Elephas maximus indicus: one gene and its partner. The protein of the gene in region 1 interacts with the protein of each later gene in a pairwise test. Links are inferred from orthologs where the notes say so. Each region holds a gene or a part of one and is shown on either strand. Other genes may lie near its edges.

Region 1 (3,747 bases):
ACAGGATTAGGTTGTATCTTGAGTCAATCTCTTTTGAAATATAAAAGAGAGAATCGAGCAGAGAGGAGAGGGACTTCATGCCACCAAGAAAGAAGAGCTGGGAGTGGAGCACTTCCTTTGGACTTAAAGTCCCTGTGATGAGAAGCTCTCACATAAGGGGAAGATGGATGATGAGGACCTTCCCCCAGAACCAGCAGAGAGAGAAAGCCCTCCCCTAGAACTGGCACCCTGAATTCAGACTTCTAGCCTCCTAGACTGTGAGAGAATAAACTTCTGTTTGTTAAAGCCATCCACTTGTGGTATTTCTGCTACAGAAGCACTAGATAACTAAGACACCACTAGGGAATGGTAACCTGTAGAACTTATAACAAACAAAATAAGTCATCATCAACAATACTGGCCCTCCCCTGATTTAACATTAACATTCCAAACATTAAAAACAAGGGTCAGAAAATAAAGACTTCATAGCACCCAAAAATAACGTTCTCCTTGCTAATAGGGTGCAATAGGTCTCAGTGGATAGACAGCCAACCCCCACTACTGGCCCTTCTGTTTTCACTAAGCCCAGAACTATTACCATGGGTTTCACTTAAAAAGGAACAAATGATGAATGACTCATTAGAATGTTAATTAAAAATGTACAGTTCCTTTTCAAGAAGTCTTTTTAAAAACGATAAAAATCCTCCATTATTTATTAAGGCTCCTAAGGGCAAGGAATATATCTATTGCCTTTACAACTTCCCCTAAAACCTTGAGGGATGGTTTCTCAATGATGACTCTAATGGTAGAGATCTCCCTCTTTCCATTCAAAGCTAATCTCACTACCTATACTCAGCATTCTACTTCTTTTTACTGCTCCTGACCTTGTCACCCATAATCCACTCTCTCCTTCTGTCTGCAGCTTCTCTATAAATTGGTGTTTTTCTTTTAGCATAAAAATACCTCTCATCTAAAACAAAAACAAAATTCTTCCCTTTACCTTACATGCCTCTCTTTTCCTTCCTGTCACAGGAGAGCCTTTAGAAAGTATAGTTAGCTCTTCAACTATACTTACATTGAGTGGAATATATTGTATTAATACCCCAACCCACTGCACCCTGGCTTTCTACTCCCTTCACTCAATGGAACAGCTCCTATCAAGATCAATAATGGCCTTCTTTTAGTTCCATTTCACTGGGCCTCTCAGGAGCTTCTGACATGTTAATTATTCTCTAAGGTTCCATGCTTCCACTCTGCTGATATTCTTCCTAATATCCTAGCCGTTCCTTCTCAGGCTCTTCTGCCTCATTCTATACCTTCAATAGGAAGTTCTATAGCATTCTTCTCTTGGCCTTCCTTTCTTCTCACTCTCACACTCCGGGGGTGATCACATACATTCCCATGGCTTAAACTACCAATGCATTTATAACTCCCATGATTGCTTTTTTCTCCATGACGCCCAATTTTTACAATCTCCACCAGTCAGTTATAAAGTCAGTTCTCCCACTCCACTGGTACCATACAGTAGGCTAAGCTCTTAGGACTCCATTATCCTATCTCTAGTGATCTCAGTTTTTACCTGGTAACATTAGCCGGCTGCATTCTGAGGCCTCAGTCACCGGAAGGAGGGACAAGCAAGTAATGTCTTTAGTTTCTGATTCCACTAGTCCCTGTCCCAATGGGATAGAGGTATTCTGAACAAACTGTACCAGGAGCTAAAGAGGGGTAAAAAAAGGCAACACTGAGAAATACAGGTTGTCGGGTATGGATCTAAGCCTTTGACTTTACCAAAAAGTGATATACCATATTTTTGCAAACAACCCAGCCACACATACCACACACAGAAATGATGAAATTAAAACCGTTCTGGCATAATCTGCACGTTATTTGCATAAAATGTAGTAATTAAGTCTTGACTGTTCACTAATCTAGGCCTTTATTCATAGAAAAACTAAAGTAACTATAACATAATATTTAAAGTTATTTATCAAGTCCTCTGTTCTGGAGAAAGGCTGAATTTTATAATTATGTTAACCTCTGTCACCTCTCATCAGAGAAATGATAAAAATAATTACATTTTTAAATGATGGCTATTAAAAAATTTCAACTGTATTATATTGATTACATTTTACAAAGCACTCTTCTGTGAACTGGCTCATATAATCCTCACTGCAACCCAGTAAGACTAAACATGTATTTTTCAGATGACAAATCAAGTTGAAGACATTGAGTGATTTGTCTAAATTCACATGGCTAGTTAAGATCAATACCAGTCTTCCAACTTAAGTAATCTAATTCTACATTCAGCAACCTTTCCATTATGCATCAGAGATGCACTAACATTAAAGTGAGAAAAATGAATACACACACACATATATAAATTTCATTTTATAATATCTTGATTATAATAATTTTACACTTAATAACAAATATAAAAAGTCATAAAAGATAAAAACAGTACTTTTAAATCTTTGAAAGTACTTAGTAATGGAAAAATAATAAACTAAGGCAAGAGTTGGCAAACTATGGCCCTTGGGCCAAATCCAGTTCACCATCAGTGTTGTAAATAAACTTTGTATTGGAATACAGCCACGCTCATTAGTGTGTATGACTGCTTTCGCACTGCAACAGGAGAGTTGAGTAGCTATGACCAAAACTGTATGGCCCACAAAGCTTAAAATATTTACTATCTTCCCCATTACAGAAAAAGTTTACTGACCCCAGCAACCAAGGATAAACTTTGGAATACAGCCTATCAAAATAAAAGGACGACTGGGCTCACCTCTGGTTTGGATTCTAACTCATCTGATAACATTGATTCAGCTTCCAAATCCTGTAGCTATTCAGGGGACAGGTTCAAATTTAATTCAGAGTCAATGACACCTTCCTGTTATGCTCATATTTCTTTAGAAAATGCTATGCTCCTGCAGTTAGATGCTGTGCTAGGCAGAACATCAATTCAGCCTAAAATGGGGGAGAGGGGAAGAGGAAGAGAGTTAAGAGCAGTGGAAAATATATCTAAAAAGGCCAAAGACAGACACTTCTTCACAGGTATATCCAAATATCAAAATAAACAAGCAAATGAAGAACTCAGCCCAAAACATGTTACAACAGAACAAGTCCAAGAGGTTTCAAAGCCCATAAAAACGTTATGCTTTGATTCAGCATTTCTACTTCTAATAATCCATTCTAAGAGGTCCTGAATATGGAAAAAGCTGTATGCCCAAGGATGTTCATCTTATCATCTGAGAAAATAAACAACCGGAAGCAACATACAAATACACATATATATCCATTAATTAGGAAGTGATTAAATTACTGCATTGTTACTTAAAAATATGGTCATGAAGATGATGAAACAAAAAAAAATGCTTATGACATGTTAAAAAAATAAAAATCTGTTGCTGTAGAGTCAGTATCAACTCACAGCAACCCCACAGGGCAGAGTAGAACTGTCCCATAGAATTCCAACGATGTAATTTTTAAAGGAGGCTTCTTTACAGAAGCTGTATCTTTCTCTGCAGAGCGGCTGGTGGGTTCGAACTGCTGACCTTTTGGTTAGCAGCTGAGCACTTAACCACTGCGCCACCAGGGCTCCTTATGACGTGTTAAATTACAAAAATAAAATATAAAATTATACATTTGCTATTTTTAAAACCTCTTAATATATGCAGAGAAAAAATTCAAAGGAAACTCACACAGCAATGACAGTAGTTCTATCAGCTGGTAGGCTAGTATCATTTATTTTTATTTTCTCTATCTCCCAAA
Region 2 (3,747 bases), on another chromosome or scaffold:
GCTGTGTCTGTCCAAGGAGAGCTGGTCCAGCCACCAGGCTCAGTTCAGCCACAATATAACCCTCCCAGCCCTGGGGGTCAGCGCCCCGGCCCTGGCGGCCGCTCCAGTGCCTGTTTGCCCACCAGCACGTCCATGAGGTAGTCCAGCTCAGCCTCGTCCAGCTCTGGAGTCGCCTCCTTGCCTGCACCCTCTACAGGGCCAGGTTTGAAGCCCTCAGAGGCTGGTGCCCAGAGTTCGCTGTCGTACATGGAGGTGTCGATGTCCTCAAATAGGCCCTCGAGTCCATCATCCAGCAGACAGCCAGTGGCTGGGCCCAGCAGATCCAAGGCACCCAGGCTGGGCGGGGCTCCCCCAGTGGGGCGGCCTAGTGGCCCCTCATCGGCCAGGGGCTGGGGGGCTTGGCTCAGGCCCTCAATGTGGCTGAGGTCCTCCAGAAGGCTGGCCATAGAGGCTGAGAGGGCAGCGTCTGAGCTGGCCAGCAGGCTGTCAGCCACTCCAGGGGCTACAGGTGGGCTGGGCACAGGTGGCAGGGCAGCCGCAGGTGCCATGGATGCCTGGATGCGTCGCAGTGTGTTCACAACTAGCACCAGGTGCCGCAGGTCCGGCTCACTCTGCCGCAGGCTGTGGTGGAGTTTGAGCACCGAGAGGTCAAAGAGGGAGCTGGAGGCCACGGTGGGGGGTGCCTGTGCTACGTCTGGGTGACCAGGATCCAGCCACCAGGCATCGACTGCCAGGGTTTCCTTCTCCTCCTCCTCCTCCCGCTTGCGCTTCAAGCCCTTGCTCAGCATCATCTATGGGGAGGAAGGAGTCTTTCAGTTATAGAAAGCAAACGTTCAAATCCTGGCTCTGACAATTGCTGACTGTGTGGCTTTGGGCAAGTCACTTAACCTCTCTTAAGTCACTTAACCTTAGGGAACTTTTCACATATGGTATTCACCTCATAGTTTTAAGGGTTAAATGAGATACAAAAAGGCTTACAACAGTGACTGGTACACAGTAATTACTTTTATTAACAAGTACTCTTAGAAATAACTATTATTTAGTTCTTCATTGAACTATATAAAATGGTCATTATCCAACTTTTTTTTAACTTACAGAAGTGGTTGTTTCACACAGTTAAATCTGGTGTTTACTGAATGCCTACTTTGTGTCAAATACAGGAAAATTACCAATAGTGCTAGGAAGACACTTAAAGATTCATGGTAGGGGGTGGTCAGGGAAGGGTCCTCGAGGAAGTGACAATTGAGACAAGAAGGGGTCAGCCATGGAAGAACCATGGAAGACAGAACAACAGCATGGGCAAAGAAAGGCCCGGAGGCTGGATAAGCTTGGACTGAAAAAGACTGGTGTGGCTGGTGCACACGGAGTGGGATGGCAGGCGATGAGGTGGGGGCAGTAGGAGGGGCCAGGTCACTGACGGCCATATAAGACAAGGTAAGGAGTTTGGCTTTCCTTGTGTGTTGGGAAGTCAGCGAAGGGTGTGCGCAGGGAGGGAAATGGTGTTTTCAGAAGATCCTCACAGGAACTGCAAGGAATAGTGTGTGTGTCCCGAAAAGCCACAGGCAGGCGGCTGTAACTCTTTGGGGCAAACGAAGGTGGCTGTGGACACGGAAGGAAGTTGACCGATTCAGGATATATTTGAGATGCAGAGCGGGGAAGACTTGCCGGGAAATCCTGACTGGGGAGTGGAAGCGCGTGGGGGGCGGGTGTGACAGAGAAGTTTCAGGACCCAGATCCTCCCCAGGTGGATCCCTGGATTTATGGACCCCTGGCCCGACTGCTTTTTTGACTCAGGCAGTTTGCAGGATCCATCCCTGGGGCCTTTGCCGAGCAGGACCTTAAGAGCGACCCCCATCCTATCCAAGACTGGGTCCTCTCCCTCTGTCCCACAGACCCTGGAGTCCGGAACCGCAGGAATTTAGCCCCCACCCCCGGCTCCGCCTCCGGGGCCCCGGCGCCCCCTAGCGGCGCCCAGGCCCGCATTCCCTCGGAGATTTCGGCCCCTCCGAACCCAGGACCCTTTACACCGCCCCGTGTCCGGGCTCTCGTTCCTGCCTGGCCCCCAGAGCCGTTCCGGCGGGCAGTTCTGCCCTCCGGGCCTCTTACTCGCTTCCGGAAGGCAGAGGAGGCGGCTCCTCCCGAAGCGGCGGCGGCGGGGGCGGGTGAGTCACGCAGCCGGAGCCAGGGAGCCGGCGCCTCCGCCCCCTTTTCGGGCTGCGGCGTGATTCACCCGGCCAGGCCAGGCGGGCGACACGTAGAGGCCCGTGAATCTAGATCTCGGGCAGCCCCGGCGCGCACCTGCCGGACTCGGGATCGAACCCTCCTACAGACCCCGCAGCCGGTTCTCCTTCTCTCCCCCGGTCTCTTCCCTTCATTTACATACCCAGTTCACCAGCTGCCAATCAGAACGAAGAGTTAGCCGCCCGCAGCCAATCAGGAAGCGGCGGCCGCAGCATCGCTCGCTTGCTCCGCTCCAGCAACCGGCGCCTAGGTCCGGAGACGGGGTTCTGACTCCGGCTCACAACTCCAGACTCCTGACTCCTCTTAGCTCCCGCCTACTTCCGTGGCGGCCCCACCCTCTACCTCACGGATTGGCCCTATGCGGTGGTGGGCGGAGCCTGTAAGGGGCAGGTTGGAAGGGAGGGGAGGTTAGCTTCAGAGCGCATGTTCCGGCGGCTGCGGGAGAGAAAGAGGCGTGGCTATTTGCCCTGAGGGATTGTGACGGGGAGGGGCTTTTGCGTATCGAAGTGCAAGCCCCTCACACCTACCCATGCGCCTGCTAAACCCAGCCCTTGAGTTCTTACCCACCCAGCTGCAACAGGGGTGTGCACGCTAGGCCTGGGTGCAAATTCTGGCTTACCACTCACTCATGCATGACATTGGAAAAATGCTTGACCTCTCTGAGCCACACACAGTTTTTTAAATGGGGCTCGTCATGGCTACCTCTTGAGAGTTGTGCTGAGAACTCGCGTTTCTAATAAGTTCCCAGGCGATGCTAATGCTGCTGGTTAGTGACCAATGCTGAGAACCACTGGTAGAGCAGTGGTTCTCAAAATTTATTATACATAAGAATCACCTGGGGAATTTATTAAAATATAGATTTTGATTTTTTGATTCAGTATATTTGGGGTGAAAATGCGAATTCTCGGCAGAAGTTCCAACCGGAACAACTGGTTTGAAGCCCTGCACTGAAGTCCTGGACTGCAATCCCTAAGTAGCTGTGTGACCTTAGGCAAATGTTTTAATCCCCAGAGTCTCAGCTTCCTCATCTTTAAAACCGGAGAAATAACAGCGTCTGGCTCTGGAGATTGTTTTGAGAATTAAACGATTTGTGCAAAATGCTCAAAGTGGCATGCAACATGTCCTTTTAAAGCAGTTGTAAATGAGCCCTGGTGGCGCGGTGGTTAAGCGTTCCGCTGCTAACCAAAAGGTCGGCGGTTCCAAACCACCAGCCGCTCCCGCGGAGAAAAATGTGGCAGTCGGCTCCTGTAAAGATTACAGCCTTGGAAACCCTGTAGGGGCAGTTCTACTCCGTCCTGTGCGGTCACTAAGAGTCGGAAACCACTGGATGGCAGGGCTTTTTAATAGCAGTTGTGGGAATAAAACCGAAAAATCCAAACCCAGTGCCGTCGAGTCGATTCCGACTCATAGCGACCATATAGGGCAGAGTAGAACTGCCCCATAGAGTTTCTGAGGAGCGCCTGGAGGATTCGAACTGGTGATTCTTTGGTTAGAATCCGTAGCACT

The links.
Region 2: the proteins of ZNF410 (region 1) and SERTAD1 interact in binary tests that used the Homo sapiens proteins (3 or more experiments, as listed by UniProt). The two-hybrid records come from large-scale screens. The link is inferred for Elephas maximus indicus from reciprocal best matches to the Homo sapiens genes ZNF410 and SERTAD1.

Annotation. Positions count from the first base shown.
Region 1 is NC_064828.1:86,625,198-86,628,944, reverse strand, and holds the start of ZNF410 (zinc finger protein 410), read right to left. Parts: upstream 2,853-3,747; 5' UTR 2,795-2,852; coding exon 2,762-2,794; intron 1,695-2,761; coding exon 1,559-1,694; intron 1-1,558. UniProt on the Homo sapiens protein: Transcription factor that binds to the sequence motif 5'-CATCCCATAATA-3', and is specifically required to silence expression of fetal hemoglobin in adult erythroid cells.
Region 2 is NC_064829.1:111,235,821-111,239,567, reverse strand, and holds the start of SERTAD1 (SERTA domain-containing protein 1), read right to left. Parts: upstream 2,533-3,747; 5' UTR 2,384-2,532; intron 792-2,383; coding exon 78-791; 3' UTR 1-77. UniProt on the Homo sapiens protein: Acts at E2F-responsive promoters as coregulator to integrate signals provided by PHD- and/or bromodomain-containing transcription factors. Stimulates E2F1/TFDP1 transcriptional activity.